Linked DNA regions of Styela clava. The protein of the gene in region 3 purifies or fractionates together with the protein of the main gene of each other region. This does not show direct contact. Links are inferred from orthologs where the notes say so. Each region holds a gene or a part of one and is shown on either strand. Other genes may lie near its edges.

Region 1 (6,976 bases), on a different chromosome or scaffold from region 3:
ATAAAATACACCTTGCGTCTTTTTCCCCAGGCCAAAAAAGGAGCTTTGTCGATGGTACGCGGCCATAATAAAAACAGTAAAGTGGTACGCGTTCAGTAAAAGGTTGAGAACCACTGCCCTAAAAGAACAGATCGACAGTGTTACAGCGCCCCCCAGTGTCCGCAATGCCAAAATACCAAATATGGAAACAATATCACATGACATCATTTAACATAGACTTACCCTAATTTCTTGGGCATAATCCGAGACAAACTCAAAACTATGAATGAAAGGCCGAAGGCTTGAGCTTGGCAATTTTTTTCCATATTTATATTTATAAACTTTAACATTGCATGGTAAAGTATTCTACTTAGATTAAATAAAAAAAATTATTACTATATTTAAAGGAAAATAGATGTTAATTTAAGCAACACCAAGTCACAAATCAGACATGTATAAGAAAAAATGAAAGAATAAACACCGAGAACAAAGAAATAACAGTATCTCACAAATCAAACATTTATACGGGAATGCAATCAGAAACCATTGGCTTTTTTGTTTGACCTTTCGTATTTTTCACTTGAGTGAACTGTATTCAGAAACTGTTTATTATTTCTAATTTTTTGTGTAAAACTCGTTACAGCTCAAGCCAATATTGAGTTTGCAAATCAATAAACCCTCTACTGTTGACTTCTTCATCGTACTCCTTTCATCTGACTAAATAGTTTTCATCATAGAAAAAGCTCTTTCAGCAAAAGCCGACGTGCCTGGTAGACAAAATATATATTCCATTACTTTTCTAAGATTAGCCACACTAAAGTGAAATTCCGGGACATTTTGCTAACCGGGACAGACGTTCAAACCGGGACTGTCCCGGCCAAACCGGGACGTATGGTAGGTCTGATTTAACAGATAAAACAAGGGTCGTCACATATGATATCGAAATCCATTGTGTGGTCTGGAAGTTTGAATCCTTCACTGATCTTTTTATGCATGCGCTACCTGTACCTGGTAGCGCCTCTATGGTGGCCCATCGTTGTCACGCGTAAAATTGAAAATAAAAATAAAAAAACGAAAATAAAAAAATTGTTGTAAAAAAACATAAAAATTATTAAAAAAAAAAATTAAAATTAAAAAAAAATAAATAAATAAAAATGAAATAAAAAACAAAAAAAAAAAATTTAAAAAAAAAAAAAAATTAAAAAAAAAAAAAATTGAATAAAAAGGTTGACAACGATGGTCCGCCTCGTGGCCCATCGTTGTCACGCGTTTTTATTTTTAAAAATTTGCTTCTGCTTGGGACCAACATTGTCAGGCATAATCCTACGCGCACAAATGTGTTCCCTGGGTTTCAAACTCACTACTGATTTTCTTGAGCAATATTCAATATGAAAATGTTCTATAAATTCTCCATGCTACAAGTTCAACAAGAAGTAATATATTTATAATAATGATAAGAGAATATAGAATTGAATACGAAAATTCGGAAAATTTGTTTTTACGTGTATAAGGTAATTTAATTGGAGAATGCTGCTTAACTACTCAGTTGTCTGGACACTCGCGATGCCGGTACCGTCTTACCAAATACCGGTAGTCGGTTATAGTCGCTTTGCGTCTGACCGTACCGGTAGCCATACAATCACTCATGAAAGAATGGGAGATACGGATAGTCTCGTAGAATATAGACTACTGAAACACTCTCTGCGCCTGCCCCATACCGTACAGCCGTAACGTACCGATCCAGACAAATGATAAATCGCCCGTGCTCAACCATTTATTTCAATCCATACCTCGATCCTAGTAGAATATAGTGAGTCGAGGTATGGATTGAAATAAATGATTGAGCACGGGCGATTTATCATTTGTCTGGATCGGTACGTTACGGCTGTACGGTATGGGGCAGGCGCAGAGAGTGTTTCAGTAGACTATATTCTACGAGACTATCCGTATCTCCCATTCTTTCACGAGTGATTGCATGGGTACCGGTACGGTCAGACGGTACCGTACCGGCATCGCACGAGTGTCTGAGCAGTTAAGCAGCATTTTCCAATTAAATTATCTTCTACACGTAAAAACAAATTTTCGTATCCAATTCTATATTCTCTTATCATTATTATAAATATATTGCTTGTGGTTGAACTTGTAGCATGGAGAATTTATAGAACATTTTCATGTTGAATTTATTGGATATTGCTCATGAAAATCAGTAGTGAGTTAGAAACCCAGGAAACACATTTGTGCGTGTAGGATTAAGCCTGACAACGTTGGTCCCAAGCAGCATCAAATTTTCCAAAAATAAAAACGCGTGACAACGATGGGCCACGAGGCGGACCATCGTTGTCAACCTTTTTATTTTCTTTTTATCCAATTTTTATTTTTTTTGTTATTTTTTTTTATTTTTTTTTTAATTTTAATTTTTTTATTAAATTTTTTTTTTTGTTTTATTTTTCAATTTTTTTTTTAATTTCAATTTTTTTTTTTATTTCTTTTTTTTCAATTATTTTTATGTTTTTTCACAACTATTTTTTTATTTTCGCTTTTTCATTTTTTTTTTAAATTTTACACGTGACAACGATGGGCCACCATACGCCTCCACGAGAGACGAATTATTTCGAATTCCGCCTCCTCATGGCGTAGTCTGCGGCAGGGGGGCTGACAACTCGACTGCACAGACCAAAGCCCGTATGTACCTGACACAGACAACTCTTCAGAGACAATTCAGCTACAGAGAGGCCTGGTAGGTTGTCCGTCTTTTCGCATTTTCTACAGCGAGCTTTTAATACCATAGGAGTGTAATTTCGATTTTTTTCAGGGCTCCAGTGGCAAGAAAAACACATTACTGTAGTATTCTCGAGAAGAGCGATTGCTCGACTGGTGGGTGAGTTGTCTGCCTCTCGACATTGTATCTTCGCGTAGCGATTGTTTGGCACGGTACCTAGGCGAGTTGAGACGCAGGATACCGTAGGCTACGAAGATCACATTCGTGAATATCTATGTGTTACTGTCATATATAAAGGTTTAAATATGTTTAAAAATGCACATTGAAAACATCCAATATCAACAAATTTCAAACCCACGCGGCACGCAGTCCTATACCGTCAGCAGTCTAACATCACTAACGTTACAACAGACCCAAGTTTTTTTTGTAGACTATAGATATATTTGTGTAACTTGAACAAGGTATGTCACTCATGCACATAAAAATGCCTTCTCGGGAATACTAATCTGTTTTTCTCACCATTGGAGCCATAAAAAAATCGAAATTACATATCTGTAGTCTTGAAAGGTCGCCTTAGAAAATGCGGAAAGACGGACAACCTACCAGTCCTTTCTGTAGTCGAGTTGTCTTTGGTGAGTTGTCCGTGTAGTCGAGTTGTCCGCCTCCCGTACAGGCTGACCTAGTAGTATATATTTACGGGCTGACGGACATATCAATTAGGGGGGTCTGGTATAGTTTAGTACCACATGCACTTATAGTTGGCCTGGCTCAGCAATTTTTGCATATGCCATTCCTAACCCTAATTACGTCCTACGACGCCACAGTGGCGTAATAAATACCTCCCAAGTGTAAGGACGGTCGTCCAAAACGCACATACAATCACCCGAAATCGAGCAAGCTATTTCTCTCGTTTTCTCTTCGTAACGATCCCGATATGAGAGAGACCGCTGGCGTTAGGGAGTTTGATATCGTCGGCGCAGATGCCATTTCGGACGATGGTACCTGTACTTGGCAAGCTCTATGACGTCGTAGTGACGTAATTTTTGGATGACATACGGTACCGGTAGTTAGGTGGGGGTTAGGAATAACATACCGGTATACTAATATTGTTATGCTACGCCCACCGGAAGTACATGTGGTACTAAACTATACTGGACCCGTTACACAACTTGATGGGTCGCGGCCCATAGCCTGATGGGCCGAGGCCTAATTCCATGCGCCGTGGCCCCGGCCCATGGGCCTTAGAGGAGTCACCACTTCCACTCCACATTCCAGGCCTTACTGTATCAAAATGTTGACCAATACGGTAGCTGAATAGACTAGACAGCTAGAGAATGAAGGTTTCATTTATCACACAAACTTGCCCTTGCCTTGGAGTGTATAGTAATCAAATACGACATCAATATATTTTATTCTGATCTCTCCGGCATAAACAAAACACAACTAACGGTCAAACGAAATGCTGAAATTGTGGTACGTGGAAGGCAAGCATAACTAAGGATAAAAGTGAAAACGTACAACTACCTGCATGACCTGTGACAATATAAAACACAGTCAATATTGCACCACTACAGTGCTACCCTATGCACGGGGTCTCATATAAAATTGTTACGACACGCCCACTAGAAGTTATTCAGGTAAGAAAGTACATGAGACCCCACAAATCAAGAGCGTCAAATGAATTATATTTCAATTGCTCAAACTCTGTCTTACATACAGACATAAGCAGATCTAGACGATAATGTTATACTTAGAAGATTACGTTGAATTAATTGAGCACCTTCCGGTGGATGTGAGAGATAGATTTACTGATATGCGTGAAATGGATTTACAGGTACCGTGACGAAACAGTAATGCATTTCCAATTTTCTTATGTTTATTCTGTCTATTAGTGCCACTCAAAAATGGCCACCGATTCAATAATTAATTTTTTCTATGCTGATATTTCCAGTGAAATATAACTTCTGGATTTTTATAGTAACAAAATGAGTAGTTGAACACTGCAATTTGGTACATTGATAAAGGAAATTTACAATAAAACGTATCGGAATATTATTTTTATTCAATCATATTCTATGGCATTGATCTATGTTTATTTTTCAAGCAGTTCGATTTATTGGCTCATGCATATTGTCGAAATAAAACTATCCAGGCAGCCATATCCGTATTACAAAGTTGAGAGTGATCTTGACGGCTATTTTTTCTAATTCTTCAGGTTCAAAATACTGTAGATGATTTGAATGGAAGAGTTAAGTCATTATTTCGTGCATGCCTTGCGAAGAAAGGAAAGATTGATAATGCCGATGAAACCTTCGATGACATTCGAGCAACTTATCGCAAGGCATTGGATGACGCTGATGAGAAAGTAAATAACATCGAAACATAGTTATATTTTAATCTGTTTTCAATTTTGCATTTGGAAGTTGAGTATTCTACAATCAGAGATTATTTTATCATTAAACTTTCACAAATTAAATTATATTTACTGTTTTCACAAATGGGTTTCATTTTTTGTTTAATATAACATAAATTTAGGTACAATTGGCAAATCAAATATATGATTTGGTGGACCGACATCTTCGCAAACTAGATCAGGAACTTGCAAAATTTAAGATGGAATTAGAAGCAGACAATGGAGGGATTACTGAAATTCTGGAAAGAAGATCATTGGAGCTGGATAACCATGTATCTCAAACTGGCCACTCGGTAAATTGCTACTTTCATTTCCTGTTGTCTCTGAATATAACTTTGCGAATGAAATTTGAGAATAATAAATTGATAGATTCTTTGAACAGATGAACAAAATAAATTGATTGTCCAACTTTTATCTTGTAACATATTAATATTTTACTGAAAGTTTATATATATAAGTATATGGCATTAGGTATAATTTATTTTAAAAAACATTTGCAGAGTAGAAAACGGCTTGCACATGCCACCACAGTAGCTTCAAGTTCTGCTGCCATTTTGCCTGGAACATCAAATGGACCTGTGGATAAAAAATCGAGATTAGATGGTGCTTTTGATTTGTTGTATTCTCATTCCGAATCGGCACCACCTTCGGTATTATCACCAGATTTCTCAACAATAACTTCAGGGAATGATGTAGAAAGAAGTAACAGTCGGCCTCCATCAAGAAATTCTACTACGGGTTAGTTATATGGCTATTTTATTTTTGAATACGCAATTAATTTACAGTCCATGTCAATCATAGCTAGTGTTAAAATTTGTCAAGTTGCTGATTTCTGTAGCAAAAAGAAGAAATGGGGTCATGAAATGCATTTTGTGAATACCTAAAAAAGCAAGAGAACAGTGCTCGTATATATGGACATGAGTGTGAAATGACTAACATGGCTATAGCATTGTCCGCAAAATCAGGCCAAATGGTAAAAGAATTGCACTGTATTTCATATGAAGATGTGCCCATGATATATGAAACCAGCAGAATTTGGAGTGAAATATTGGACTCCAAAGATTGTGCGAAATTATAATAGCCTTTCATCTACTTCCAACTTGAAGATATGTTCTCACAACAACTGCTCTGTGTCTGAAATTTAGTAATCAGTGTTGCATATGTGTTAGTTTGACATTGTTATGAGACTAGTTTGCTGTATACATCATATGAACTAAAATCTATTTTCAGGTACCGGTCAATCTATCATTAGTGCTCTCCAGACTCCAGTTGCTACAGAGGGACAGTCAGTAAGGCATCCAGGAGGTTTGAAAACAAATAACATTGGAATTAAACTGTCAGAAACTACTATCAAACAGGAGGATTTCCAACAAGGATTACCCCCAGATTTTGTTGATTGTAAATTGCCTCTTAGTGAGGACATGATGGATGAAGACTCTTGCCATTCCACTCAGGATGGTCTATTAATGTCACCCACAGGTTCAAGACCATCTAGAACGAAAAAACAAACTTCACGTGCAGCTGCTTGGACTCAAGAGCGCATGCAGGCTGAGGCTAGGCGTGGTCATGCGCGAGAAAAAGATCATATTTCACCAAACAGCTCTATGGTTGAACTCGTCGGAGAAAGCAGTAATGCTTCTTCTGATTGGACACTCGATCCTAATGAGCCGCGGTATTGCATCTGTAACCAAGTGTCGTATGGTGAAATGGTTGGGTGTGATAATAGTAAATGCACAGTGGAATGGTTCCATTATGGCTGTGTTAATCTCACTGAAGCACCAAAAGGAAAGTGGTATTGTCCACAGTGCACTCAAACGATGAAAAGGCGAAATAAAAACAAACAATGATAGTGGGCCAAAAAAATC
Region 2 (7,644 bases), on a different chromosome or scaffold from region 3:
AATCAAACATTGTTATTAATAAATTCCTACCCAAAATACTGGAAGATCCTTGATGCCATTTTCACAATTCAAATTATTTTTCAATTCAACCTTGAAGATATGCCGCTCATCAGTATTGTAAATCTTCCTGTGCATTGATGAAACCTCCACCATTGGAGACCTGTAATACTGTTTCGAGTTACGAGGTGTCAGAGAGACTGGTCTAGTTTGACGAGTGGCCATTTTCCAATCTGGCAAGAAATACAAATAAAATTCAGGTATAATAAACACATTTCATGTACATACTGTTTTTTTTGGTACTTGGGAATGTGTTATAAATATGTGTTGCACTGAATGAAGTCACCGACTAATGAGTACAGCGGGATGGGTGAGGACAGAAAATGGTCACTGAACAATCATTAATTCATTACAGATGCTCAAATAAATACTAAGATTCTGTAGAAAGTGGTAGGATGGATGCCTATGATTTTATATGTTCCGGTACCGGTATACCCGGTACCTAATAAGAAATGGTGATCCCACTTTGGCCCAAAACCGGTAATTAGGGCCACGAAAGCATATTTTGACGGTGGTTTTGCTTAGGATATACGGTATGCTACCTTCAGTGAATATAGCAAGACTTAGCAACTAGCCTAGATTGAAAGGGTGCCGAATTCGATAAACCATATATTTACGGATAAACCCATTATACTTTTGGTTGGAGGCCAACGACTTTGCTTTGAGCAACCTTGTAAATAAAACTGTAAAATGATACCGTACATCAAGTCTCACTGTTCGCCTGTATAATTGCGAATGTTTACATGTCCCGAGTTATACACTTTCAGAGTATATTTGTTCATCATTTGGGGTTTAATCATCGCTAGTTTAACTCAGGGTGCTCCAAACCCAGGCCCGTTATTACCCAGCTTCATGTGGCCCGCGTCGCATTCGCAGAGTAATCAAAAAATTGCATTTGGGGTTGATGAGTTTAGTGTGTTTTTTGGTGGTTTTTGCATGTTATAGCTTGATAAATGACCAATACTGATGAGTGTCTGTACAATAAAAGGGTTTTGTATTGCCCCGTTTATCTAATCTTGGCACTATTGTGGCCCGCGAACGATGAAAAAATAATTTTATTGTCCCGGAGCCGACAACCTTGGACCACCCTAGTTTAACTTATGGGTGTGACGTGGCATAAAGAATGCGTATATTTTTAAACATAACTTGACGAGTCCGGCAAAGTGAGCCCCTTGAAAACCAATGAAAAGTGCTCGGTCAGGTCATGGATGAGCAGGTAAGCAACGTGTTTCTGTGATTCGCATTTATAAAATTCGAAATGTAATTGCACATGGGTTTAAGTTATTACTGATGAATATCATAATTATTTATTTGTTTTATTTAATATTTGAATGTTGTTATGAAAACGATTAACGGCGCGGAATTTCCTTAGTTGTAAGTGGCGCATTCATCTGATTTGGGAAATTGAAGGACGCGTCTTTACTTTTTACCTTGTGTACACGAATCCCGCGTTCGTTGATAGTGACTCGCTAAAAGTTTTACAACAGAAAGCGAAGGTACCGGTACCGCATTTGTTGAATTGAGATTAATTCTATAATAGCGATTTGAATATATTATATTGAGAAACCGTGACATATCGTCTCCTTACTTTACTGTCTAAATAGACTACAACTAGCATTGTTGAATTGAGCTACCGTACCGTACATTTTATATTTATGTAATATTCGAAAACTGTGGCATACAGGCATACGGTACCGACACCCTACTATTGCTTTTTTATCGGCATATAGTACCTGTAACATTGTATCAGTGGGTAGCCGAACTTCAGCGCTGTTCTGTAATTAACCTTCTGTATGACCATCTTAGTAGGCTATTTTATGCTTGTTTTACTGTTTTAGAAGAGTGGCCATAACTGTCAAAGTCTTGTTGGGTTCTGGTTTAGTTTTCACAATCACAAAAATGGAACTAACTGCTGACGGATATGATAAAGATCATTGTGCAGAAATAATGAAGAAGCTTAACGAAATGAGAAAAAATAAAGAATATTGTGACATTGCAATAAAGGTTGGTAATGAAGAAATCTTAGCACACAGAAATATTTTGTCCACAGGGTCAGACTATTTCAGAGCAATGCTGTTTCATGAAAATGTTGAAAGTCGATCTGGCGTCATTCAAATGAAACAAACTGAATTTTCAAGCGTTAGGATTTGCATTGATTTCATTTACACTGGACATGTTAGCATTCCTGACTCTAAAAATTGCAAACAACTAATGCATACTGCTCATATTATGCAGCTACAAAAAGTTTGCGAGAATGTTGCGACATATCTTCGAAAGAAAATAAATATAGAGTCGTTTTATTCAGCAAAGATAATTGCAGATATGTTCAATTGTACAAAATTACTTGAATGTTGTGAAAAGTTTGCTTTAAAAAATTTTCAACATTTAGCTATGAAGGATGATTTTAAACATTTAGAGAAGGAATTTGTTTCTTTGTTGATTGGATCACGGAATACAAAAGCTTCCGAAGACATAAAATGCAAGGCTCTGATTATTTGGACAAATTTTGAGAGAGGAACTCGAACTTCTACTTTTGAAGCACTTTTTGAAAAATTGAATTTGACTAAAATTGCTTCGAAATATCGGTCATATCTTATTCAAAAAGAGCCTTCAGTTTTCAACTCAGATTTATGTACGAGTGCTCTAACTCAAGCCAATGATTTAACAAATGTAGAGCCAGAGGATGTTGACATAGCCACCTCAAAATTTGTGACTAATGAAAATGTAATTGCAGTGTTTAGTAAAACAACATGTTCCATCCATGTTTTCAATCCATTTCTGAAAACCTGGACAGAAATGCAGAAGATCGATAAGGAATTTGTTGCTAAATACTTCACTGCAGCAGTGCTTAATGACATTATATATGTTTTTGGAAATTACGGGAACAATTATAAGTTGGATTACATCGACATCAATGCTACATGGGTTCGACTGGACGATCGAAAATCAGCTAAGAAACGTGCGATCGGTGTTGCCTTTGGCAACTATATTTACGCATTTGCTGATCATGGTTGGTATAGTAATGCTGTTGAGAAATATGACCCATATGATGGAACTTGGTCTGATGTCACGCATAAGCCAGTGGAAGGATTTGGATCATCTATTGTTTCTCTTGAAAGTTTCATCTACTGCATAGGAGGGGTGAACAATACTGGACATATGTCGAATAACTTGAGATTTAATCCATTAGATTTAACATGGAGAGAACTTCCGTCAATGCCAACTGCACGAAAATTTTCTTCTGCAGCCGGACTCGAGGAAAAAATTTATGTAATGGGTGGGACTCAAAGCTTCCATTTGAATATTGTAGAGTGTTTCGATATAGTTGCAGAAACGTGGACCACTGTTGCTAGTTTAAACAATGCAAGGGCAAAGTTTACTTCATGTGTTGTGGGAGATAAGCTATTTGTTGTTGGAGGGGAGCTTTCTAACAATACAATTGAAGAACTGGATCCTGAGAGTAATAACTGGAATGTTGTAGATAAAATGAGTGGAAAATTCATTCAAGCCAATGCTTCCGTTCCACTGTATATTCTTCTCCCTTAGCAAAGGTTGAATTTGTTGATCTACTTCCCTACCTAGAAAAGTTTTCTGTCAACACACAACTGTTGTCTTTTAGATCTCATTTATTTGCTATCAGGTCGCCTTCCAGCTGGAAGACAAAAAACTGTGCTCGCAGTCTCACAAATCAGTTTTAGCTTCTGAACTCGGTTTGATTGCATTGTTTCAATTGTATTGACACACAAGTTCAGCAATTTTATGCGATTATTGTATTACTTATAAGTGTATAAAATTTGTATTGGGAATTAATATTCATCGATATTGATGTAATGGATCATTTGAAACCAGCACTGTGAAGTAGAAGCTTGTTATGTTTGTACTGGTATTGTAGGGAATTAAGAGAGACACCTTTTTAACGCAAAATGAAAGCGATAGAAATATTGGGAAACCGGCAGTTATGCAGAGGCGAGAGCCGTTGAAGCACGCACCCCGGCGCTTACTGACTTTGGCCGATATATATCGTTGGTTTACTGCCGATCGGAATTAATTTATATAATTTATATCGGCCCGATATATCAGTAGACCGATATATTGGTCGAGCTCTCATTATTAACATGAAAATATAATTTATATCATTATTATTTTATAACATATTATTATGAACACTGTATTCTTAGACTTGTGAATAATAGAATTTAAATTTTGTCTAAACCAAAATTACCATCAATGGCATTAGTTCATTTCCCACTGTGTATATCATTTCCACCAACTGCTTAATTCTATTTTTGTAAAATTTTTATTTCTACCATCTTAAATCCCTCATTTTATTCGCTGGTATATTCTTTCCTGAGCTGAATGACCATAATAACATGATTTGCGTTTTGAAAGCTGTTACTTTATTCCTTTTTGACAGTGTGCTTTTCTGAAAAATATTGTTGATGATGTGTATGTGGCTACTTTTTCTTTATATTGGCGTATTATACTTTTGAATGTTCAATTCAATTTTTTATTTATGTTAAAATCTTATTTGTAGGTATTTTATAAATACCGTTTTTGCCCCTTACACAGGGGAGGCCAGGATTATAGCGAATGTACCACTGATAATTCAAATAAAAGTACAAAAAAACAAAAAATTTGGGCAAAAATCTTACCGCCCAGAATTACTTCCTCATGTTATTAATCTTGGGTAACATTACTGCTCATTTGGTGCAAACTGTAACATATCGTATGTATGCTAACCACTGAGATATTGTGTTCTACAATTACATTACCACTGTTCCATGAGTTGGCATCTTTTTCATAGAGAAATAAAACACTTTCATATTATTTCCACTGTAGATATAACATATATTCCTGCATTTTTTTGTATTTTCAGACTCAAAATCGAATTTATAAATTTAGTGAAATTTTTTCTGCTATAAATCATCATGGCTGCTGCAAGAGAGCCACGTTGTACTGCAGGAAATCGGATGTCAAAGGTCATGGAAGAGGAACTAGACGAGGATGACTTTTATAAGACTACGTACGGAGGTTTTGAAGAGGAAAAAGAAGATAATGATTTTGAGTCGGACCAAGAAGATTCCGCAGACGAAGTCGACTCAGATTTCGATATCTCGGAAAACGATGAAATTGTCAGCGATCAAGATGAAGAAACTATAAAACAATCTGAGAAAAAACGAAAAAGAGGAGCGAACACAAAAGCTTATAAAGATCCCTCAATTAAAAAAGCAAAAAAAGATGAAAAAGAAATTAGTAAAAGTGATGATAACAAGGAAGAAAAAGTTCCGAAAGAGGCGAAAAAAACTGAACCAACTGCCGTAAACAATGACGGGCCAAGTCGTAAATCATCTCGTCGCGCCACGGCAGCAAATTCCTATTTAATAAGCATGAAAGTAAAAGAACGTAAAATCGCAGACCAAAAGAAAAAAGAAACTGTGAAAAAACCAATGGCTGGAGTGAGACGTTTGACCCAGGAAGAATTAATGCAAGAGGCGGAAAGAACGGAACGTAAAAACTTGAAATCGCTGCACAACTATCAACGTCTCGAAGCAAATCGAAAAAAATCTAGCACAAAAAAGCGAACATTTGCAGAACCAACAATCAAATACTTATCGACAACAATGCCATCAGTGGACCCGGATGAGCCATCAAAAATTTCGAGAGATTTTATAATTTTCTCTGAACCTGAAGTTTTTAAAAATGAATTCCACTGGAAAAAACAGCCTCGAATCAATAAACCTATATGTCCAGTTACAAATAAGCCTGCCAGATATATAGACCCACTTACTAATATTCCTTATTATGACATGGATGCTTTTAAACTTATTCGTGAAGCACATACTTTATCACTGGCAAAACGTGATAAGGTAAAATGATTCTATAAATTTCTGGTTACACCTGATGGTTACATCTGGCAGCCTCATTATCTGTGGCCCGTGTCACATTTGCTGGAGATTATTAATCAAAAATCGCATTTGTCTAGTCATAAAAATAACCAGAAAAATCTTTCGACATATTGTTGCATCACTAATGTCACTGAATTGACTAAGAGTTATGACGATTTGCACATTTTAGAAAGTTTTTTGATGGTCTTTGCATGTTTTAGCTTGATAAATGACAAATAATGATCGATGTGTTTGCACAATAAAAGTGTTTGTTTTTTATTGCACTGTTTGCATATTCTTGGCACTATTGTGGCCCCTGAACAATGCAAAATTAATATTGTTGTTCCCAAAGCGGACAACTTTGGACCACCCTGGCTTAGACTGATAGCTTCCTGATGCATAAGCCAACTTTTCCGATTCAAAAAGCATTTCCAGGAACATTCTTCTGTGGCAAGGTTACTAATTTACCGTAGTAAAATGCTCAGATGTTATGACCTTGCTGCCCATCAAAAAATAATTAACACTGTATAATGGTTTGGATTATTCACATTAAAAGCAACATGCGACTTAATCATGTAAATTTTTTTGATGAGTCATTTTAAAATCTATACGCTGTCATGTTCACCTGAAGTTGAACTCTTTCAAATTTTGTAAAATTGAGTATACACTGCCTTAATTTTTATTCTACATTTTTCCAAGCCTAAGCTATAGTGCAGTTCTGTTTATTTGTGAAAAAATTTCCAATCGCCTGAGATCTTGATTATCTTTATGTTTGTACCCTGGTCTGTTTTGTCATTTAGGGTACGGTAGGATTTACATATTTATCCCAAGGGAGAGGAAAGCTGCTAAGACGACTTAATCACATAAACCACAGTTTGTCGTCCGGTTACATATCCATGTCGGGTATGGGATTAATTAACCAGTTATTTGTTTCAGATGCATGGACTTGATGCTGAAGGAAGCCTTAACCGACTAGCAGTTATGTGAACCAGCCTATGGCGGCGAGGAGTCTACCAATCCTCTCACACATAATTATCTCCAATGGGATTCGAACCTGCGAACACACAAAAGGTAATCGGAGGTGCAGTGGCGAGCATATTCCTATCGCATAGCACGATGCGCCACACTGCCGAGCCCTCACTTAAATTTTCTAATATGTGACTGTTAAACCTATTAAAATTATTCGGAGTGTATCTCTTTGTTTGTGCTGCAAAATTTTTCCAATTTTTCATGTATAAGATTTTGGTAATGTTTACTAGGGTTCCATTACATTTGAACCCACGGACATTTGAACCCATGACAATTGCACCTGCATACTATTGCACATATGGAAATTTTTTTGTTTTACCGATAATTGAACCCATACTCACCCTAACCCATGGGTTTTAGCAACCGCATATAGATTGAACCCGCGGATATACGCATGGGTTCAAATGTCCGGTCACCGTTTACTAGATATCAGTAATATCTGGTCTGTTACTCTGAAAGAAAAGTTTTTCTTCATTATTTCCATTTATATCAATTATTTTCTTTTCTAGATTGAATATGCCACCAAAGTTAAGGTTACCGCCTCTGCCATCCATTGCAAGCATTCTTAAAATTTATAATGTCCGAGCAAAGAAACAGTTGGCGCAAAATTTTTTATTCGATCCGAGAATAATTGGTAGAATGGTGGATTGTGCTACGAGTGATTTGACTGGAA
Region 3 (6,816 bases):
CGATAGCACGCTCCAATGCACATACTTGACGAGACGAAAACGAGCGGATGTGTGCTGCTTTCAAGGCGTAGCACGAATGGTGTTCGTGCCTGCTTTGACAGTTGTTGTCGATTTTAATGATATTTTGGAAAGTTAAGGTAAAAAAAATCGGAAAAAGGTAAGGTAAATACTATTATTGTATATCACACCCGGTCATCGCACTGTTAAGTACATGTGGGAAAGCCAGCCTTTGTCAAATACTACGAAGTTATTAATTCAGTACGGTACGTAGTTGCCCATTTGCCGGAATTATATACCAAATTCAGTAAAATATTTTTTACATAAAACATGAGATATTGGATTTATTAGCTTTTCCATTCTAAATCATATAGACTGCTTTATTTATTCTTAACGAAAATTAATAAATCTCCTCTGTTTCTTCAGATGTGAAAGTTGTGGACAAACCTGTCTAAGCATTGTGAGACTCCTGCAGCACCTTTTTATTCACAGGACAACTGTAGCAGAAGGGGAGATATCAGAAGTCTGGCGACATATCAGTGACAGTGTGATTCCAAGAAATATAATTAGAGTACTCTGCAATAGAAAAACAACCTATGGAGACATGCAAAGACATTTGACCCTCCGGTAGAGTTGTGTATGGCCCCCACATCCTGCAGGGCTTGAGGAAAATAACTAAAAATTCAAAAGCGTAAAATTGCATACTCGGTCTTATTTGTAAAAAGGCACAAAACACGCCAGACATACTTAAAACAGCTTTGGAAAATGAGGATTACGGGTAACTCACTGCACCTGTGTTATATTTGGTTCATCAACTTTTGGTAGTACTATAGAAGAAATTCCGGAAGGGGTATAATCATCATTCATGATAAAATACTATCATATATTTTTTGCACAACTTCAATCTAGACCAGGGATCTCAAACTCGCGGCCCCAGAGAACTTCCAGTGCGGCCCTCGAACGCTTAACAATAATTGTAATAGTATTTTGGAAGTTTTTTTTTGTCTAAATGTAATAGATTTTTCAAACCTTTTAAAGTGAAATTGATTATTCACACAGAATACAATTTACTGAAAGAAGTTTTGGAATAATAATTTTTTTTGTCCACATTTTGACCCAATTAAGAATACACATCAAGCTTGCAAAAGAATACTTGAATAAAACACTTGAGTGATTAAATTAAACGCAAAGTACATGAAGGAGGTGGCATTTTCGAAGAAAATGGGAGTTGTAACATTTCTGCTTTTCACAAAATTCTGAAGCACATTGTTTAATTTGTCATATTTCCATCAATACAATGAAAAAACACAATAAGCTCAGCAGTCAATATGACAAATTCGAAGACCAACTTCGGACAGAAAATTTCCATGTGTTTGTATATTAATATAATTATACAACGACTTAGTTACTAAAAATCAATATCAATAATAATTCAAGCGATCCTATACCACGCAATGTGGTGCGAAATGTCTTCTCAAAAAAATCTGTCATTTGTTTTTTTTACTGATCTATACATGAAATGATAAAAGTAACTTTTTTGTATTACTGGAGTTAATTAAACATTCGCAAAGATCCAGATTAACCCATGATCATGTGGCCTCGTTAGTTAGAGTCGGTACTATAAAATCATTACAGCCTGGCCTTAGTATGCTGGTGACACAAAAAAGATGCCAAACGTCAGGACAAATGTAATTATTAAAACATTGAGTTTATACTGTAGTATTTTTGTTAATTTTAGGTTCATATATTTAGATTAAGTTATTTTTAGTGTATGTATTATTCTTTCCTTATTCAAAGCTTGTTCAAAAATGATTTTGATGGTTGTACATAGAATTTTATAATTTTTTATAATAAATACAGTAACTTGCAAATGTTGCAATAATAGTGGAATGCAAATATTAATATGTAATTGCATTTGAAATTGAAGAAAATTTTAAAACTTAATCCAACTGTTTAGTTGCATCACAATATATGTCACAAACTAAAACTATCTTAAAAATATCTTTTAAGTATACATTATCAAAAACTGTTTGCGGCTCTTTTTACAATTTCCGAAATGCAATGCGGCTCTCGAAAACCCATAAGTTTGAGACCACTGATCTATTCCAGACGATTCAAGAATTGCTTTGGGAAATAATATCACTTCAATTATTTTGAAATAATCTCGCTATATTGAATACAAAATCGTTGCTATCATAAAGGTAAACCAATTCAGCCACTCGAAATATATTGGCCTTCACAAAGCAATGGAGGCAAAATTGAGAGTTCATGAGCTATGAACATTTGTTCTTTTCTTTGTCTTGAACTTTTCATACTCCACAGCCCCTATTAATTTTTTTTAATTTTAATTACCATGTGATGGTCATACATATCTTTAACTTGTATTTTATGTCATGATGTATTATCTCAATGTGCCAAACTATTAATTAGTGTGCATATTTTGCTTCCAGATGACATAAATGTATTGTCTTGTTTATTACCTCAGCTTGGAGTATTGACAAGAAAAAGGTGCCAGTAAATTAGATAAAAATTTTTTAACTCTTTGTTATAATCAGAATTCACAATCAATAGGAATTATAAACAGCCAACAATCAATGAGAATTATATGCGAAATCCCTCAGAATAAATTTGTCTAAAATCGGAGGAAGGCAAAAAATATAGGTAGTTTCCATCCACACAAGCATTTCAAGAAGACTTGCTCGAGCCAAACTAAATGAGCATCGTCAGGTGGTCGGTAAGGCTGCAAGTTGAATTCAGCCCTGCAACCTCCCGCATAGAAGATAATATTAATTAGTGGGCTATGAGCTAAATTCCTGAATTTAAACAAACCTATCTACGATGCATTATGTACCAGCAATGTTACCTACGATTAACTGAATATGTAATATGTCTAATCAATTCACCTACAAAAGCAAGTTCGATAGGTGCAAACTTGGAATTGTATGGAATTGTATCACAGCACAGTTTTGTATGACACCCCTCTTTAAATGAAATTTCAATGATTAAGCGCAAACATTAAAATTACTAACTTTGAACTTTGTCATTATCTGCAAAATGTTCCACACAAATCTTTCCGCTATCGCGTCTGTAATATTCTCTGATAAAAAAAAACTTTCTGATTTGATTCCAACTTTCCAAGTGAGCAAAAGTTCTTAGATATAGAGATTATTTTGTTTTGTTACAGGCGCAAAAAGGCAGGTACTACACGTAAAAAAGACACCGAGTAGCAAAAGCGAGCGGAAAACGGACGCGAAAGGCGACGAGAAATATGTGCATTGGAGCGTATCATGAAATACAATCTTCCGCCTGTAGTCTTATGGAGTGACGTCAGAGTTGCCTATCATCTTGTTTAATGTCATTGCCCCCACCTGACTACGTCTCCAAAATATTACGTCACTAGACGTCACAGTGTCGTGATAAACACCTCCAAATTATACGGATGGTCGAGTTAGGCGCTGATTCAGGATTTTACAGATTTGATAAATTCTACAACCACACATCAGGGTATCCAAGTGCAGTTTTAAGTATTCTGTGGCGTCTGCAGCTGCCGCAAAACCATGGCGGTATTTCCATACCACAGCCAAACCTATGGCGTCCAAATTGGTCCCAATGAACACCTCAATGATGGCGACTGACTTTTTAGCTGCCACAAACCAAGGACGAGATGCCGTTACCGCGGCAGCAAATTGAAAACCAATGGTTTGTAAAATTTTGCTGCCGTAAACACGGCAGGTGGGCCGTAGAGACAGGGATGTCGCTTATGGTGACAAATATTGGGTACCGTTAAAATCTGGTACATTAATTTGTGAATATACCGTAAATACTGATTACTGAATAGCGCTATAAAACCATGGCAATAGCTGCCGCGGTTAGTTCGTGGCAGGAGCTGCCATGAAGTGGTAAGAACTGCGCCTCAGGGGATCAGTCGAATATCATTTGACTAATGATTAGACATTGTATTGGGAGTACGGTATCATTTAATCTAGTATCTTTTTTTCTGTTTTTGCATCAATTTACGGTACCGTACCATACAGCCATACTACTTGACTACTGTACGGTATCCTGTCTCTGTTATACCGGCGGTACCGTTTAATTATTACGGTATGTCTGTATTAGATATTGTTACATTTTTGAGGCAAATAAACATGCACACATACGGTACCGTACCGCTAATGTACTACCGGTACCGGTACCGCCGGTACTAGACTACCGGTATATCTCAGATTTTTTTTCACACGGTTACAGGTACCGGTATTAATCCAGAAAGCATACCGTTCGGTACAGCTGTACAGGGATTTGAGATTGAGATCTGTATGTTCTGATGGTTGGGAAAATTTATTCGTCTTTATCTGAAGGTTCCAAATCCAGTAGTCTTTTGAAAGGTCGCAAAGTAAATAGGCCTACATATTTAAGTTTTTTATTTATTTTTAATCAGACTTATATTACAGTATTATACAGTTCTGTAGAAAAATGGGTGAAATAATTGAGCGACCATCAGTATCACCCATACTTTGGAATGCGGATACTGAAGTTTGTCTATTTTATGCCATGCGAGGACATAAACCTGTCGGAATTAATAAACATTTTCATATGATGGGAATTCACAGTAAATTTGCTCAATCTTTGGGACAACCTGTAACGAGTGCTCAAATATGGGAACATTTATCAACAATGTATAATCTTGCAGTATTGGATGAATCAGACGCTTTGCCTTTTAATAACAATGTAAAGCATTTTCAACTACCTGAAGACATTTTAAATTTTGGCAAAGATAAAACAAAAAAAGAGCAGCATGAGGCTGCAGTAAAAACGCCATCAACAGCAAAGTCATCCTCAAATAAAGATTTACAGCTGCAAAGCAAAAGCACACCTCCAAGTGCAAAAAGCAATAGAAAACGAACTAGAAATGTTACATCGGTAAGTCCTGCTGTCGGAGCTTCCGGTCCCGGATCAAGTAAGCGGAGGCGGTGATTTAATCCCATTTTCACGAGAATGATGTTACATTCAGACATATGTCAATTATTCGGAAAAAAGTGAAATGTTTGAAAGGATTAAATGCGATGCAAGAATCAAAAGTTGGCCCGGACAGTAGGATGTGAATCAAGATTAAAACAATTTGTGACGAAGCGGAACTTTTTTCTAATAGATAATTTAAAAGCAAATATGTTCATTTTTTGTGTAATTTCTGCTCAAAAATAGTTTTGCTGTTTTCTATGATTAATTTTTTATGAAAATCCTAAGTCAAGCTAAAAACTTCTTTACCAACAAGATGTTCCAATGCCTATTTTGGCTCCAAATTAAACTTTGAACCATTCATGTTGCTATGACTATGACTACATTATCAACATATAATAATCTAATTACTGATCACTCTTGAGATAATCACGAATTTACAAAGACCAATATGTATTTTTTTCTATTTTTATGGCATTCCAATCATAAGTTTTTAGCGAGGGGTATATGTGCATCATTTAGCAATACAAAATATAAACTCAGAATTGTTATTCGCTATGTAAACATTGCCATGATGATATATAGATTTTTATAATCATTGTAAATACAAAAACGAGACGACTTGGATTAATCAAAGAGATATCACTTAAGCATTGTTCACTAATGCTTTGTTCTGTATGTACAATGTGTATTTTCGGCATGTGTAAAAATAAACTACTGATACTGTTGAGAGACTTGCTCACCCTTGTTTCTGCCACTTGGAGTTATTAAAGTTAAGAGCGAGTCTTAGCCAAAGTGGTCCGAGCATATATCTCCTGTGTAATATCATTTAGCTTTGTTCAGTTATTAATAATTGACAAGAATTGCGATTGTATTCTTACAATGATATCACTTTAAACTATGGGCCTATATTATTCTGGATGTTGTATCAAGTATTTCATTATGAACGCTTTGTATAGTGGAATTGAGCTCATTGTTGGTTAAGTTTGCTTAACACTCTAGATATATATATATTTCATCAGAAATTTTGTTAGCCAATTATCAAAATGTGAATTTTTTTGGTTTTGGCTTACTTGATAGATAAAAATCAATTTTCGATTTAATTATCAAATAACAGAATTGGCGAGGCAAGATGAATTTGTGAAGGTATTATTCACTGATATACTATAATTTGTTAAAAATTATTGTTATTTTAGGTGACCGAATGTCATAATAGTAGTTTTGACTTTATCATACCAGTAAATTTTTCCTCCTTTTTCCATAGCTTTATGCATTTTAATAAATAGGCATTTTGCATAATGGGTGATGGAGAATATGCAACCTTGTTACCCACTGTAAGATGGGCACAACGCAAGGATATGCTGAGCTTAAAGATAGAGTTGCAACAATGTCATCATCCTAATATTGTACTGAAGACTAAATCCATGACATTCGAGGCCAAAGGCGTTGGAGCAAACGGTGAAAATCAGTACAAGTTTTCATTAGAATTCTATAAACCAATTGATGAAGAAAGTTGTATTCATAAAGTCACTGGATCATCTGTTGAAGTTTTCTTAACAAAAGAAGGAATGGGTGAATGGTGGCCTCAATTAACTTCGCAAAAAAAGAGTCCCCATTTCTTGAAACTGGATTTTGACAAGTGGAGGTCCGAGTCTGATGAGGAAGATGAAAAAAGAAAGGAACAGGAATCGTCTTTCCTGAGAGAATTGAAGAATGAAAAGAAGAAATACGAGGAAACAGTAGATATGCTAAGGAGAGGATATCTCGTTCTTTATAACGTCATACAGTTTCTAGCTCACTGTTATATATTTTTCTTTCTCACTGTCAATATTTTTAGAGGTGGAACGAAGCTTTTTCCCATTGCTT

The links. The genes of interacting proteins can lie anywhere in the genome.
Region 1: the proteins of MRG/MORF4L-binding protein-like (region 3) and inhibitor of growth protein 3-like purify together in Homo sapiens (co-immunoprecipitation; 4 studies listed by BioGRID and IntAct, counting the BioPlex papers as one, with this or other methods). This does not show direct contact. The link is inferred for Styela clava from reciprocal best matches to the Homo sapiens genes MRGBP and ING3.
Region 2: the proteins of MRG/MORF4L-binding protein-like (region 3) and vacuolar protein sorting-associated protein 72 homolog purify together in Homo sapiens (co-immunoprecipitation; 5 studies listed by BioGRID and IntAct, counting the BioPlex papers as one, with this or other methods). This does not show direct contact. The link is inferred for Styela clava from reciprocal best matches to the Homo sapiens genes MRGBP and VPS72.

What each region holds. Positions count from the first base shown.
Region 1 is NC_135257.1:15,701,956-15,708,931, forward strand, and holds the start of inhibitor of growth protein 3-like, read left to right. Parts: upstream 1-3,862; 5' UTR 3,863-4,439; coding exon 4,440-4,532; intron 4,533-4,913; coding exon 4,914-5,063; intron 5,064-5,233; coding exon 5,234-5,404; intron 5,405-5,611; coding exon 5,612-5,849; intron 5,850-6,341; coding exon 6,342-6,958; 3' UTR 6,959-6,976. UniProt on the Homo sapiens protein: Component of the NuA4 histone acetyltransferase (HAT) complex which is involved in transcriptional activation of select genes principally by acetylation of nucleosomal histones H4 and H2A.
Region 2 is NC_135254.1:7,385,308-7,392,951, forward strand, and holds vacuolar protein sorting-associated protein 72 homolog, read left to right. Parts: upstream 1-4,934; 5' UTR 4,935-4,985; coding exon 4,986-5,933; 3' UTR 5,934-7,030; downstream 7,031-7,644. Other genes in the region: kelch-like protein 12, read left to right, coding at 1,266-1,273, 1,896-3,603; dimethyladenosine transferase 1, mitochondrial-like, read left to right, coding at 7,488-7,644. UniProt on the Homo sapiens protein: Deposition-and-exchange histone chaperone specific for H2AZ1, specifically chaperones H2AZ1 and deposits it into nucleosomes.
Region 3 is NC_135261.1:10,775,870-10,782,685, reverse strand, and holds MRG/MORF4L-binding protein-like, read left to right. Parts: upstream 1-4,397; 5' UTR 4,398-4,467; coding exon 4,468-4,968; 3' UTR 4,969-6,214; downstream 6,215-6,816. Other genes in the region: very-long-chain (3R)-3-hydroxyacyl-CoA dehydratase-like, read left to right, coding at 6,249-6,816.